Linked DNA regions of Drosophila melanogaster. The protein of the gene in region 2 purifies or fractionates together with the protein of the main gene of each other region. This does not show direct contact. Each region holds a gene or a part of one and is shown on either strand. Other genes may lie near its edges.

Region 1 (6,078 bases), on a different chromosome or scaffold from region 2:
CTCCTCGCGCAGCAGCAGGGGACGCCGCTCGCAGATCGGACAGAACACATAGATGGTGGTCGCGCCGGACTCCATTTGATGGCGATGCTCGATGATACCGCCGCCGGCAGACCTCAATCCCAATGGCTCGCGCACAGCAATGGCGTGCGCTTTGAACTGATGCTTCTGGCGGCATTTGCCGCAACAGAAGACACGCTTGCAAATGTGGCACTTGCCCTGGAAATCAAGGTGGAGTCACTACGGATGGAACGTTTGGATGCGTTTGGAGCCTACCTCGTCGGGCTGTCGCATGATTAGGACATTGGAAAACGACATTAAATGCGCAAGTTGCGAACTTAACACACATGGACATACACCTTTGCACGGAAATGAAACGGTTCTTTGGCTAGATATGGCAGCTAATCTCTCAACTAGATCTAGGAGATCTAGACTAGGTATATCGATTGTTAGCTATGAACATGTAACAAACGAAAGCACTCAGTACACTTAAAAAAAAAACTCTTGAGCGCATGCCCTTTATTTCACTTTCAAGTTCAAGTTTAAGAATAGCACATGGCAAGATCTTAGCTTGCTCAAATATTTTGAATCCGATGATGTCGAACGATTAAAGCTCACGTTCGATTATCATTAATATTTGTAAAACAATATTTTGAAAAATATTTATATAAATGCGTTTAAATGTAATAGGAAATTGAATTGGTTTTCCGAAGAAGCTGGTTTCTTTCGCAAGAGAATGCTGGCCAGTGGTCAGTGGACAGTGATGAAACTAGAAGCTACATATATGGACAGTCCTTGGAGCTCATCACCATCGCATCGAGCTTGAGCTGGCAGCACTCATCCTGATGCGAGCGAAAGCGATTGATGACGAAGCTGAGCAGGTCGTTGCCCTCGTCGTCGTATATGTTGCGAACGAAGATCGTGCGATGGATGGCGGACTGGACGACGGCGTGGAATTGGCGATTCCGCTTGTTATGCGTGCGACGAAAGAAATCCTTGCGCACCAAATTGCGGGCGTCATCGGGCCAGATGCGATCGAGGCTCTCGGGCTGCAGGCCAAGGATCCTCAAATCCATCGCTTCTCTGGGTGAATCCTGTGACAGAGAACAACAGTTTGCAGTGAATCCATACTACTATCATCTATCATCATGTATGGCCATACCTTGAAGATCTTATCGCAGCTGTACAGCTGGCTGGTTTTGTAGGAAAAACATTCGGTGGACGTGTCCAACAGTTGCACCAACACCATGACATTGCTTTCCACACTGACAATGTGCACCCGCTCGTAGCGGTTGATGTTCTTGACCACCGCCATCTCGCCGGGCACGGGATTGGGATGCATGTGCCGGTTCGCCTCCAGTTCGTAGTGGCGCTGCACTCGCTCGCCCAGATCGCTCATCGGAAAGTTGAGGAAGCGGATCGCTGTGGGAAACTGGTCGCTCAAGCGCACAGCCAACGCAGCTGGGCTGTAGCACTAGAAAATGGAAAAGGATTTAGTGGTGAAGCCTTGTTAGCGATCATATCGAGAGTACTTACAACTAGAACCAAGAACCGAATCAATCCATTTTTGGGATAGTGATCTGGCGGCAGCACCTCGTCCCGCCACATCACATGGCGATACATGCACTTGTGCCTCAGGCAATCCCCGAAAGCGGCCATTTGGTGGCAGAGACTTCTGCTTGTCGGTTGCTCTTCCAGGCGTCGCTGCGAAAGGATTCCCAGCAAATGGCCGGGCCTGGGCAGCTTGTGCTTCATGTAAAAGTCGCACAGCTTCCAGATGTTCTCCAAATCAGTGGGCTTGGCAAAGACCACGGACTGGCCGACTGGGCGCGTCGTTGGCGATTTGAGGTTTGCGTAGAACAGGCTGAAGCGGTTCTTGAAGCGCGCCCACATGCTGGCAAAGCTGTAGTGGATGAGCAGCGGGATCTTTCCGCATTTCAGTCTCGGCACCACATCATCCGTGACCAGCAGCAGGCCACTCGGGGACTGGCGTAGCCACTCGGCGACATTGGAGTAGCACGCCTCCGATACGCAGATATGTGCATTCACCCCAATCGCTTGCAGACTACGGCGGAGTAGGAGTACCTCTGTCGAGTTGGAGCAGACCATAACGGCGGGCTCATTGGCAAAGTTCCTGCGCTCAGCGATCAGCGCCTTCAAATGCTCGATCTTCTCCGGCTCATCCGCCACGACTCTCACGTCCAGCTGGACGCCGCCATAGACACTCGCCTCCAAGGCGTCGTCGAAGAGAACGAGGACGTCGGGCATCAGAGGCAGAATGTGCTGCACCATTAGATCGGTGTGCCAAATGCGGCCGGAGACGAGCAGTTGGCACTTATTTTGGGTGAGCTGGAACATTTCGGGCAATCGTTGCAGCAGCTTCATCGTGTCGTTTGGCAGGACACGAACCATGTCGTTCAGGTTATCCAAGGCTATGCACTTCACCGCCTGGGCATCGAAAATGCTCCCGACCGGGTTATGGTTCAGCAGTTGGAGCAACAAGTCCACGCTGGTTAGCAGGATTCCAACGGGCTTTTTGAGCCGGCGAACGATGTCCACCAATTGGGTCTTGTCCCAGTGGGTAACGACATCCTCAAACCCCGACGCACTGCCCAGCAAACAGAGCAACGTGCTCATCCAGCGTTCGATCTGTTTGCCCTGCCCCTGGTTGGGACACACAAAGATGCAGGTAGGTCCACGGCCAACATCTGGCCGTCGCTGCAGATCCTCGTGGCTGCGCTGGCACACGGTGGGCAGGTAGGACCACGTCTTCCCGATCTGTAAGTTGCCCACAACTAAAACGGATTTACCCAACGAGACATGTGGCCAGGCGAATCTCTGGACCGCCCGCGCTCGCGACCTAGCCACACCCATCTGCTGCATGGCCCGCCTGATGATGGTGCTTATGTCCGGCGCTTCGGTCAAACCGTAGCACGGCACGACCGCGTGGCGACTCCAGCCGAGAACGCCATAGTTGTTGTAAGTTATTCCCCCTGCAGAAAAGGGAACCACTGCTAGAGAGGCAGGTGAATCCTTCACAGTTCGAATGGAATCCAGCGAAGTGGTGTCGATCTGATGTCGATAATCAGAAGCGGAGGCACTGGACACCGGTTCTTCAATGCTAACAGAGGGAGGAGGCGGCAAGTTCATGTTTTTGAATACGTTTTGCACCTTAAACGACTTTACGAGCTCTTGAAACTCGGCGTCCAAAGACTTCGTTGGATTTTCAGTAACGAAAGGAGAGTAGACAGGAGCATTGAACTTAGCAGCAGCTGGAGAGGATTCGTCCACTGCCGCCGAATCAGTGCTGCCCAACTCAAAAGAAGCCAGGAGCTTTACTGTAGCATCCTCCACGCTTAAATTTATCTCTTGCTCCTTATTGTCGTTTGGGATTGTCGCTGGAGTTGCAGCACTTAGCAGGACATCCGCCTCCGCCTTGTAATCCTCCGATGATGTCGGCGGCGTATTCTCCTTTATTTCATAAAGCTGCATGGAATTTAGGGCATCTACTTTGAGTGGCATTCTTTGCTGGACGATCTCCGGTTCGGTCTCTCCCTTGCCTTCTTTTTCATTCTCTTCGTCGCACGGAGTTATGACCAACATCTCGGCGTTTCTCGCCGATATGCTCAGCCACTTCAAACGCTCCTCGAACTTGTTCAGTTCCGGCAGCGTTGTGTGGATCACCAGGTTCGCCTCGACTACTCCAAGATGCTCGAGCATGCCATCGCAGAGAATTAGAGCTTGGTTGATGTACTGGAAAGAGGATAAATAACCTCCGCTGATGTAATGTTAGTGATCCGATTCAAACTCACCCCCTTGGACCAGAGGAGCAGCACTTGACCGACCATTGCCCCATGCGGGGGCAGGAGAATAGTGTTGACATCCCGCTCGGCGAGCTCAAATTTCAGACGCTCGGCCTCGAAATTCTGCTGACATATCAGAATAGTTTTTTCTGTGTTCGCCTCCCTTTTCCGCAGGGTGTGCGCGAGAAAGTCGAGGGAGGCTGCTCCGGATTTCGGACTGGCGTACGTGAAGGTGGTTCCCCCGGACACCACCTTGAAGCTGGGCACTTGCAGATCTCCAATTGGCTCCATGCTGCGCCTAATATATGTACGGCTAGCAAGGTCACGTGCAGCGCTTTGCCAAGTAAATAAACAAATCGCGTACTAATGGCTTTTTTATCGCCTTCCACTTGAGCAGAGAGAAACTCCTTTTGGTTTGAAAATTTTAAACCAACTGAATTCTTTCGACACTTAAGCTTCAAGTTCGATTACTACTCAATATCGATAATCATCGAACCACTCTGATCGTCTGGCAACTCTTGTTCACGCACCTTATGACATTACAAGCTGAGCCTGCGTGCGCCACCTTATCAATGTGCTGCCACCTTGCATCGCACGAAATTCGCTAGTTTTATTGAATTTTGTTATTGAAGAAATACCCTAGCAACAATTCGAGAGTGTTGCCAGCCAAAGGGGGGGCCGACATGCTGGACAACGACACCAGCAACAACAACAACTGCAACCCACAGAATCTGCCACTGGACGAACTCAAGTTTGCACTTTCCGGCAAGGATGGGGTGCGCAGGAACGTTCCGGCGCTGGTAAGTGGACATGTTGGTGCACCTCCGGCGAGATAGTACTATGCATATGTGTTTTTTTTTTTTGTGGACAGGACGAGCACTGGGTGCAGCGCGAGAAGCCCTTTGCCAGCTATTTGTGCATGTTGAGCTCCTATGGACGCCTAAAATCCGGAGCTGCACTGGAGGAATGGACCTTCGCGGCGAACAATTTCCGTGGGGACATGGAGTTCCTGCTGAGCCTGACGCAGCACGAGTAAGCTACATCGTGTTGCGCTCAGTATACCGAAGACATTAACACTTGATCCCCGCCAGATTCTGGTCCTACATGGTGTACGATGAATCGGCCATGGCGGCCGTTGTCACATTCCTGCAGCGCGCTAATCCCTACTACAGACAGACAGATGTCAGCCGGGACAAGGAGTTGGACCAGGCCCATCTGCTGTACGGACAGCTGCTCGATCTCGTCGTGCGTCTGATAATGCGACTGTGCACCGGTAAGGAATCGGACTCGGAGTGGATTAGCCCGAAGCAACACGGCAGCCTGCTGTACAGCAACTACCTGATCTCTGTGCCACTGCTCTTTGATCTGCTCATCGCTGTTGGCGATGCGGAGCCGGAGAACGTGGAACTGTTGCGCCAGATCTTCGACAAGGTGCTGGAAGTGCAGCCGGAGTACCAAAAGGATCTGAAGGAGGCGCTGATCTTCTACGAGAGCGCTTTCCTCAGCATGCAGATCCAGGTGGAGAACGAGGGCTGCGAAGGTGCTGGCGGCGGGGCGTCTCTGGACGTCGACTTGGAGACGCCCTACGACGATGTGGTGCTCTTCGCCATGGACTGCGCATACACGCTGCGCCTGCTGCTGCTCCTCTGTCCCCAGCTATTGGAAACCATCGAACAGCTGCGTTTGGCCCCAAGGTTATTATCATCATCATCATCATCAGCATCCGTGGTCTGTGTGATTCTATTGCCTTCCCTTTCGTATTCGCAGCATTGCCAATTTCTATGACATGACTGTGCCCATGTTGTACAAGAACATCTACTTGGTGAACCCGGGTGCGAGTTCGCTGCGCTGGCTAAATGAGACGCGCCAGCAATATATCTTCATCGTTCGTCGCGTGGTCAGCCTGCAGATGGAGTCGGGACGGGGACAGCAGCTGGTGGAAGTGATGCAGGAGTGCCTTTCCGCCCAGAACTTCGTTGTGGACTACCAGCGGCAGTTTCCGCTGGAGCACGACATGAAGCTGCTGATCCAACGTTGCCCAAATATGTGAGTTGTCTGCCTTGCTTAGTGGCCAATGTTATTCTTATTCGCAATCTCTGCATCGCTAGCAAGAACTACGAGGTGGACTTCGTGGTGTCCGGTTATCAGAAGGCACTGGCCAGCTGCCCCAACGGCATAATGGCCGACGATATGGCCAGTAACGGTGTCCAAGTTACGGGGAACGTCCAGGACGAGGAATTCAAGAACGGCGACTCCTCGCGCACTTCTCCACAGCCGT
Region 2 (7,433 bases):
GAGTTGTGCACATGGGTTTTGTGCCTGCAGCGAGGCTCCTCTGTACAGTGCTCACCCAGGTGCAAAGCACAGCGACTAAGCTTGTGGGCGCTGGTCGCCAGTTTGAGCAACTGCAGCATTCTTCGGCGCTCGTTCAGCTGCGGCGAAAGGTAAAACAAAGGCCGACGGCTGAGTTCTTGCTCCCTCATGGTCAAAAATATATCCCGGGCATAGTCGGTGAGCCAGTGCGTCTTAGCCAGGCGCTACAAATTGGTATTTAACGAAATAAAGTCGGGTTCGCAAAAGTTAAGCACATGTCCGTTCACCTCGACATCTGCTTGCGGGCAAGTTTTCTTCAATTTGCGGTCGACGACGAAGATGTTCTGCTCGGCAGCCACTTTCTGCTCCATTGTATCGAAATTGAATGCAATGCCTTAAATCACCGATTTTAAGGCAAGAACTTAACGGCGGAAAAAAGCAAAACAAATGAAGGAGAAAACAAAAGGAGCGCAAACATGGCGCTACAACGGTTCCGGCCAGTGCTACCACACTGCGAAGCCAAACGAGCAGCGTTCCCAGACTGCGCTTGGGAGTGTTACCATTCGCTAAAATTAGCACATATGTACAAATATTTAAAACAAGTTTAATGATTAATTGTGTTACTTTAATTCATCAATAACAAGTGTTTTAATTTAATAATAAACTGTCATATGTGCTTAGTTCAAATCATCTGTAGTATTCAGTGAAGGCACGAATGTTTCCAAGCAAACGGGGACCTCATCTTTCTGATTTATCACCATTTGAGGCAGATCACAGCCAAAATAGGCGTTATTTTTGACACAGAACAGGATTAGCTGGCGCCAGCATTCGTCGACGGCCAGAAGATGGGGATTCCCGAAGATGATCATCATGGCACGTGCTCGGGAAACGGCCACGTTAAGTCGCTTGCTGCAACGCACGAATCCCAAGGAGAAGCGGGCATCCATGCGCAGGATCTCTTCTGATGAACGCACCGTGGATATTAGTATAATGTCTCGTTCCTGGAAATAACAAACGTTAAGTGTGCACGTAATATCGATTTTAGTTCCGACCCCACCTGTCCCTGAAACTCCTCGACGGATCCAATCTTCGGCATGACCACGTCGGTGCCAATGAACATACTCCGAAGCATCTTCACCTGCTTCTGATAGGGCGTGATTATACCGATCTGATCGGCAGTCACATTGGCACGGTACAGGGCGATGGTCATTAGGAACACCTCCCTGACCTCTTGGGGATTGAACCAGGAAGGGGAATCGTTATTTTGCCTGTTTTCGCCAATGATTCCGTAAAAGAACGTGCCGTGCGCTTGAGGGATATCCTTTTCTGACTCAAATACACACCGCAGTTTACTTAGTAGGCGAGATTCCCTTGAATCCTTTTCGGAAAGAACTGGGATCAGTTCGTCATCGTAGAATAGCCTGCTATAAATGCTCATAATCGACGGTAATGCTCGGTAATTGTACAACAATTTGGTTAGCACTAGTGGATTGTAGCCGGAGCTTTCGGGAAATCGCTGAAGATCTTTTCGATACGGCGACCGTTCCAGCAATCTCTCCAGAAAGGATATGGAAAATCCCATTTTCGAGGCAATTCGACTGGTGACAATAGACTGCAGCTGGCGAGGATCACCTGAGAGAACAACTTGAGAGCGTTTCTTCGTTAGCATTACAATGGGTACCATTGTTTCTGGTTCGGTGCATTGACCAGCTTCATCGAACAGCACGTGAGTGAAATGGCCCGCTGGAAACCCCAATTGTAAAAAGTTTCCCAAAGTAGTGCAGGTGGAGATGGTAATGCGATGAGTACCTATAAACTTAGCTTGACAGCGAAGCTTCAATCCCGATTCGGTGACCATCATCTATAGCAAATATCAACAAAGCCAAGATTAATTGGTGTCCAATCCAAATGATAAAATTTTTCTACTCACTTTGTCCTCGCAACTGCCCACAGCACCGACATCACTTGTGGCGCAGTAGCTCATTATTTCCGGAGGAATCAAGTCTTTCTCCACTTGATTGTACGAAACGAGGCGAATGAAATCTCCCTGGAGCAAAGCTTTGCTATCGATGAGCCTCTTTGTCACCAAATCCGCTGAGCTGTTCGACGGCGTTCCCACCAAGATTCGGGCACCAGGCAGATTCCTAACCAACTGGAGTAGTGTCTCAATAAGTGTCATTGTTTTTCCACTGCCCGGAGGCCCAAACAGCACATAAGGAATGTTCTCCGCTTCACCGCGCAGTATATTGAAAACAGCACGTTTTTGGATGGAATTAAGCGACTGATTATACCACTCTAATTTCGAATCGTACAAGTACATGTCGTCATCCTTCATATAAACATCCAGCTGGGGATTCTCGCGCTTGGTTACTTTGCTGGGAAACAAGAAATCCTCGCCCATTACTCCTACAATTTTGGAGATGGCATGGTGTTGCTTGCGAAAACTGTAGCGTGAGAAATAGAACTCTAGTCGATAGTCCTCGCCATTATATTTCTCCTGGAAACTGGAATGGAATTTGAGTAAAATGCGATCGAAGAGCACCTTATGGATAATGCCCTCGTATGACTTGGTGGTCTGGGAATCGGGATCCGACCAGGGATTAATGACTCGCAGTGTATCGCCAATGACCAGCGACGGTCGACGCTCGGCTAGATTCTCGATCTGCAGCGTGAGGAACTCTCCGTCACGCAGAAAGTGTGCTCGGTCTCTGTCGTAGTTGCGAAAGTTGACGAAGCACTCGATCTCCTCGAGGTGTAGGAGCAATCTGAAACGGTGCATATAGGTTTTAATGCTTAGGGGTTCCGTGAGGAATGAATAGTGCTGCTCGATGGCCTTGATCATCTCTTGTCGCCGTTCACTAGTCAAACAAATTTGGCGCAATTCTTTGGGCACCTTAAAAGAACGGTAGTATTAAAAATAAGCATATTTTTTAATGAGAGGACTCCTTACTTCAAAGCAACCCAAACGCAGAGCAACAAATCTGCGCTTGGTAACAATTTGTTGTCCCGGGATTACATCCACCTTGTTGCACCAAACTTGGTTGGCATAGAACCGGGACCTCTCCTGGCTGTTACGACCGGGTGCCATCAAAGCTTCAGCTGCTATCATACGTTTCTCAGCTTCAGCGACTTCCTCCTTGGTTTTGCACACGATCACCGTGAAGACGCGCCTCACCTTGAGTAGATCGAAATTCAGCACGTACTTTTCGATTGCTTCCCCCAGGAACTGCGTATGGATCTCAAAGGTCACCGTTATTTCGGAGCCGCTGGATATTTCCTTTGATTCGAGAGGGCTGACCACGCTCAACTGAGACTCACTGTCATTGCAGACGGTGATGCTCTCCAGGCGCAAAGTGCGGTTTAGATTGTTGGTCAGCTTTAAAGATACGCTCTCCTTTTGCCAGAGCTCTGCGGTGATGAAACGATTTACACCAGTCACCGTCACTGCTTTTCCACTGCCGGATGATCCCATACTGCTCTGCTGAGTCAGCTTGGTAGCCCCAAAATTTTTCTCCAGCGGAGTAATCTTAATGGCGCGTCTCGTAAATTTGGACTGGGGAATTAAAACACACGTATAAAGAAGAAAATCGCAAGATTTTATGTTCCTTCTTTAACTTACATACTGGCACTCGATGAGATCGGCGAGCACAATGTCGCCCAGATGAAGATCCGTGCCTGTAGGCAAGTCTGTCTTTAAAATGTAGGTTTCCGGACCCAGCACAACCATGTGCACGTACACGCGCTCCACAATGCACTTTTCACCTTCCTGAATGCGGGTGGGAAACAACTTTGTCACCTCTAGGATTTCTCCCTGTTTGTCCACGAAACCGTCATCCAGCTGAATGTTGCACTCTAGGCGCACTCGATCTCCATTCGTTGGGATGAAGTTCATCTCGATATTGTCTAGCTCGACGGTCAGCTGTCCGTATTCCGTTTCGACGTCTATGGAAGATGCCAGACGCTGGCTAATCAGACCCAAAACGCTCCTTGTTTCGGTGTTAAAGAATGTCGGCTTTTCGTTCTTCAGGTTGTCTACAGCTTTTTCAATCTAATAGAAGTTAGGATTACAGATATTAAGCATTGGCTTTAACAAATGGCTAATAAATCTAATACCGATGAGCTTACCTCCTTTTGGCTTGTGTCCTCCCAGGAATGCTCAAGGATACTCTTCACCTTGACCACCCGCATGGCTTCCCCCGTTGTAAAAGTCAAATATTCCACTACACATCCGACGTGTAGATCCAAGATGATATCCTCTGCCACCTTCGTTTCGAATAAAACGTCTTTGTCGATGACTCCCCGATCGCCGTCTAGACTGGTGATCACTCCCTTTCTGGCGGTGCAGGAACTTTCTTTACTCACGTCCATTTCCGAAAGTCCATGCGTAAGCTCAGCGATCTTGTTACTTAAAACCCCATTAATTTCGTTTGGATTCGCCTTAAGCTGTTGATCCATCTTCTCCTCCATTAGTTTTTGGTCTAAAAAGCTATTCTCCCGATCCAAACTTTCCAGAATATCCTCCCGGTTACGATCCGGGTTCGTGAAAAACTTGCTAACGTATGTGAACATTTTTGAAAATGTTTCGCCGATAAATGCTCTGCCGTTCCTACTGCGCTGCTTTCTTGTCGAGACTCTCGTACATCCAGTCGGTTTCGCTGAGATAGCTCAATTCCTTGCGCAGATTCTGCAGACGCTTCAAGTGGTTCTCCGTCGTCTCCGCCGCCTTCCCGCCCTCGGTGGTTTCGCTCTGCGATTCCGCCTTGTCAGCTCCGATCTCGGGTTTCTTAGCCTGGAAATGTGGACCATCTGTATTGTAAACATTTGAGAACATACAATGTTACCTTCTATGACACCGAAGGCTTAAATATCCTACAATTTTCATTTAACAACATTTTGTTGTTTTACTTCTACGGACAATTTTTGAAATATTTAGAGAATATTTATTTATAAATTTAAATGTATTTATAAGAGCATATATAAAATAAAAAAATTAACATTTGTATACATTTTCTGTATGTTTTGTAACGGAAAATTAAAAACTTTGTGTTAGGGTTCTTGAATTCAATAGTGATTTGTTTTTTAGTCTAGGCTGTTAAAATAACTGCAAAAAAGCAACAGTTTGAATGGAGAAAAAGCAAACGAAAGTCTCAAGAAAAGCGACAGCAACAGTTACTCCTGCACTGCTTTCGTCTCCTTCTACCACGCCAAAACAAGGATGGCAACAACAACAAACTCATACCTCTGTTTCACTGGATTCAACGGGAATATTGGTGGCCGTACCGCTTGTAGATGCTTCTTCTTTGATGGTTATACTTCCGGATGCTTCGCTGGACATTGTCCAATCACGCGGATTTACCTTGGTTATCAAGCTGTGGACCAAATATGTGAGTTCCTTACCGGCTTTTTGCAAATGCACAGCCGGATTTGCTATTTGTACTCGTACTTACAAATATTCTTAACGCTGTTGAATTAGTAGATGCACTGCACTTTGAGTTTTAAGAGTTCAATGGGAAATAGTCATAGTATTCGAAAAAACTCTCGAGCAAAATTTTGAGCACAAAGCGTCTTGGCGAACTTTTAAGTGTGACCGGACTTAGCGGCGTAGAAAATATCCTTGGCTGTGGTATTTTCTTAAAGTGTGTCAAATTAAAGCGGTGGAATATGAAACGTGAGGAAGTTGCTTATGTATTTATATTTTCCTTATTTAAAAAAAGTTCTCAAAAATAAAATGAAACAAAAATGTAAAGTAAAGAACTCAAGAAAGTATATAAAATATCGGCAGTCCACATTTAAGTTTTTGTTTTTGGAATTTACCTCCTCACAAAAATAATACACACGAAGAACTTGTTCTTATTCTTTTATCTTTTTTTCAAGAGTACCTGTTAGTTATCTGTCACTTACATTTAAGAAATAAGCAATCAAATTCCAAAATATGCCAAATATCTTTCCGCAATCCGGAAAGTTTTTCGAGTATATGTGTAAAAAAGTCCATAGATGGTTTCTTTCTCCATAAATACCCTAGTGATCGATATTATTTAAGAGTATGTTCAATACTTTTCGCAGTTGAAATAATTTACCAATTAGGAAAACCAATAAAACCAACTGCCCTATGTCTGATGAGTAAGAAACTGAGCACCAGAGGCGATAAATGGTTCCCGTAAACAGCGCACGCCAGCGCCGAGGCCGCGATTCTATTGAAAAAGGTGTATATATATTTAATATATCTTTATGTACAACTATAGACTCAAAACAAAAATACCCCGCTCAACTGGATATTACAGGGTATAATCGATAACCTTAGCTCAGCCATTGTGATTTTCAGCAATCCACTCGCACGGTCACACTGCCTGTCCAACCCTCCCGCACCGTACTACTCGACAACGTGCTTGTGTGCAGAATTTCCTCGGCTAAATAAAACCAAAAATTGGCAAAGCGCCGTGTCAGATCTAGCCGTCGATTGCACAATTCCGGAGCAGGACGTCGTCGCTGGAGCCACCGAAGCGGAGTCACCATCAGAAGATCACCAGCACCAGGAGAACCCAGTGGACAGTCCTCCTCTTTTTCTTGGCTGCCGAGGCGTCGCGTGTGCGTATCTTTCAGCGGTGAATAACCCACGGCTTTTTGTTTTCGGCCAGAGGAGGAGCGTGTTGCAGTCGCAAACGGGAAGATGGTTAAAGCTAAAAAGGGCAAGAAAGAGATACTGACCAAGGTCGAAGGCGGTTCCTCGGTGGACGAAATGTGAGTCTTGTGCAAGTTCATGCCCACCTGCCAACTTGGCAAACTTTCTATCGCAAATTATTCAATCTTACAGCTCCGATGTGGACAGCGACCAGTTGAGCCTCAACAACAAGCAGAATCATGCCCTGAAGGGCAATCAAGCTGGCGATGACGATGTTAAAGCCGTGACCAAGGGGGTCAAGAAGCTTAATGTCAAGGGAAAAGGCAAAGCAGGCAAAAATGACGACTCCGATGAGGAGGAGGTGGTGCCCGCCAAGGGCAAAGCTTCTAAGAAGTCGGCTTTTGAGCTGCTAATGGACGACGACGAGCAGGACGAGCCAGCTGCCCAGGAAAGCCAGTCTGAGAAGGAGGAAAAGGTAGTGGTCTCCAAGCCACAGAAGAACGAAAAGAAGGGCAAAAAGGCCAAACGCAAGGGGAAGGACGACGACGATGAAGATCTGGACAAGGTTTTAGCTGAGCTTCAAGCGGAATACGCCGGCGAGGCTGCTCCTGCTGCCACTACTGTTGTTTCCCCCGAAGAATTGGCCGATGAGTTCTCCAAGAAAAAAAAGAACAAGAAGCAGGCCAAGCAGGCTGCAGTGGCAGAAAACGCCGGAGAGGATGAGGCCAGCGATGACGAGGAGGGCGGCAGCACTGTGAAGTCGGCAGCCCAGAAAAAGAAGGAAAAGAAGGAGCGC

Evidence for each region.
Region 1: the proteins of armi (region 2) and fs(1)Yb purify together in Drosophila melanogaster (affinity purification with western blotting; 6 studies listed by BioGRID, with this or other methods). This does not show direct contact.

The regions. Positions count from the first base shown.
Region 1 is NC_004354.4:2,718,581-2,724,658, reverse strand, and holds fs(1)Yb (female sterile (1) Yb), read right to left. Parts: upstream 4,192-6,078; 5' UTR 4,092-4,191; coding exon 3,810-4,091; intron 3,751-3,809; coding exon 1,534-3,750; intron 1,472-1,533; coding exon 1,160-1,471; intron 1,092-1,159; coding exon 774-1,091; 3' UTR 501-773; downstream 1-500. Other genes in the region: fs(1)Ya (female sterile (1) young arrest), read right to left, coding at 1-216, 274-315; CG2701 (uncharacterized protein), read left to right, coding at 4,484-4,600, 4,672-4,832, 4,892-5,494, 5,568-5,846, 5,909-6,078.
Region 2 is NT_037436.4:3,459,495-3,466,927, reverse strand, and holds armi (armitage), read right to left. Parts: upstream 5,612-7,433; 5' UTR 5,466-5,611; intron 5,388-5,465; 5' UTR 5,354-5,387; coding exon of another isoform or gene 5,258-5,353; intron 4,825-5,257; exon of another isoform or gene 4,808-4,824; coding exon of another isoform or gene 4,625-4,807; 5' UTR 4,588-4,624; coding exon 4,144-4,587; intron 4,067-4,143; coding exon 3,638-4,066; intron 3,572-3,637; coding exon 2,969-3,571; intron 2,912-2,968; coding exon 1,949-2,911; intron 1,880-1,948; coding exon 1,076-1,879; intron 1,020-1,075; coding exon 696-1,019; 3' UTR 614-695; downstream 1-613. Other genes in the region: CycJ (cyclin J), read right to left, coding at 56-242, 306-389; CG46463 (uncharacterized protein), read right to left, coding at 4,625-4,807, 5,258-5,353; eIF5B (eukaryotic translation initiation factor 5B), read left to right, coding at 6,686-6,756, 6,830-7,433. UniProt on the Drosophila melanogaster protein: Probable RNA helicase required for axial polarization of the oocyte during early and mid oogenesis. Plays a central role in RNA interference (RNAi) process, a process that mediates mRNA destruction of translational repression.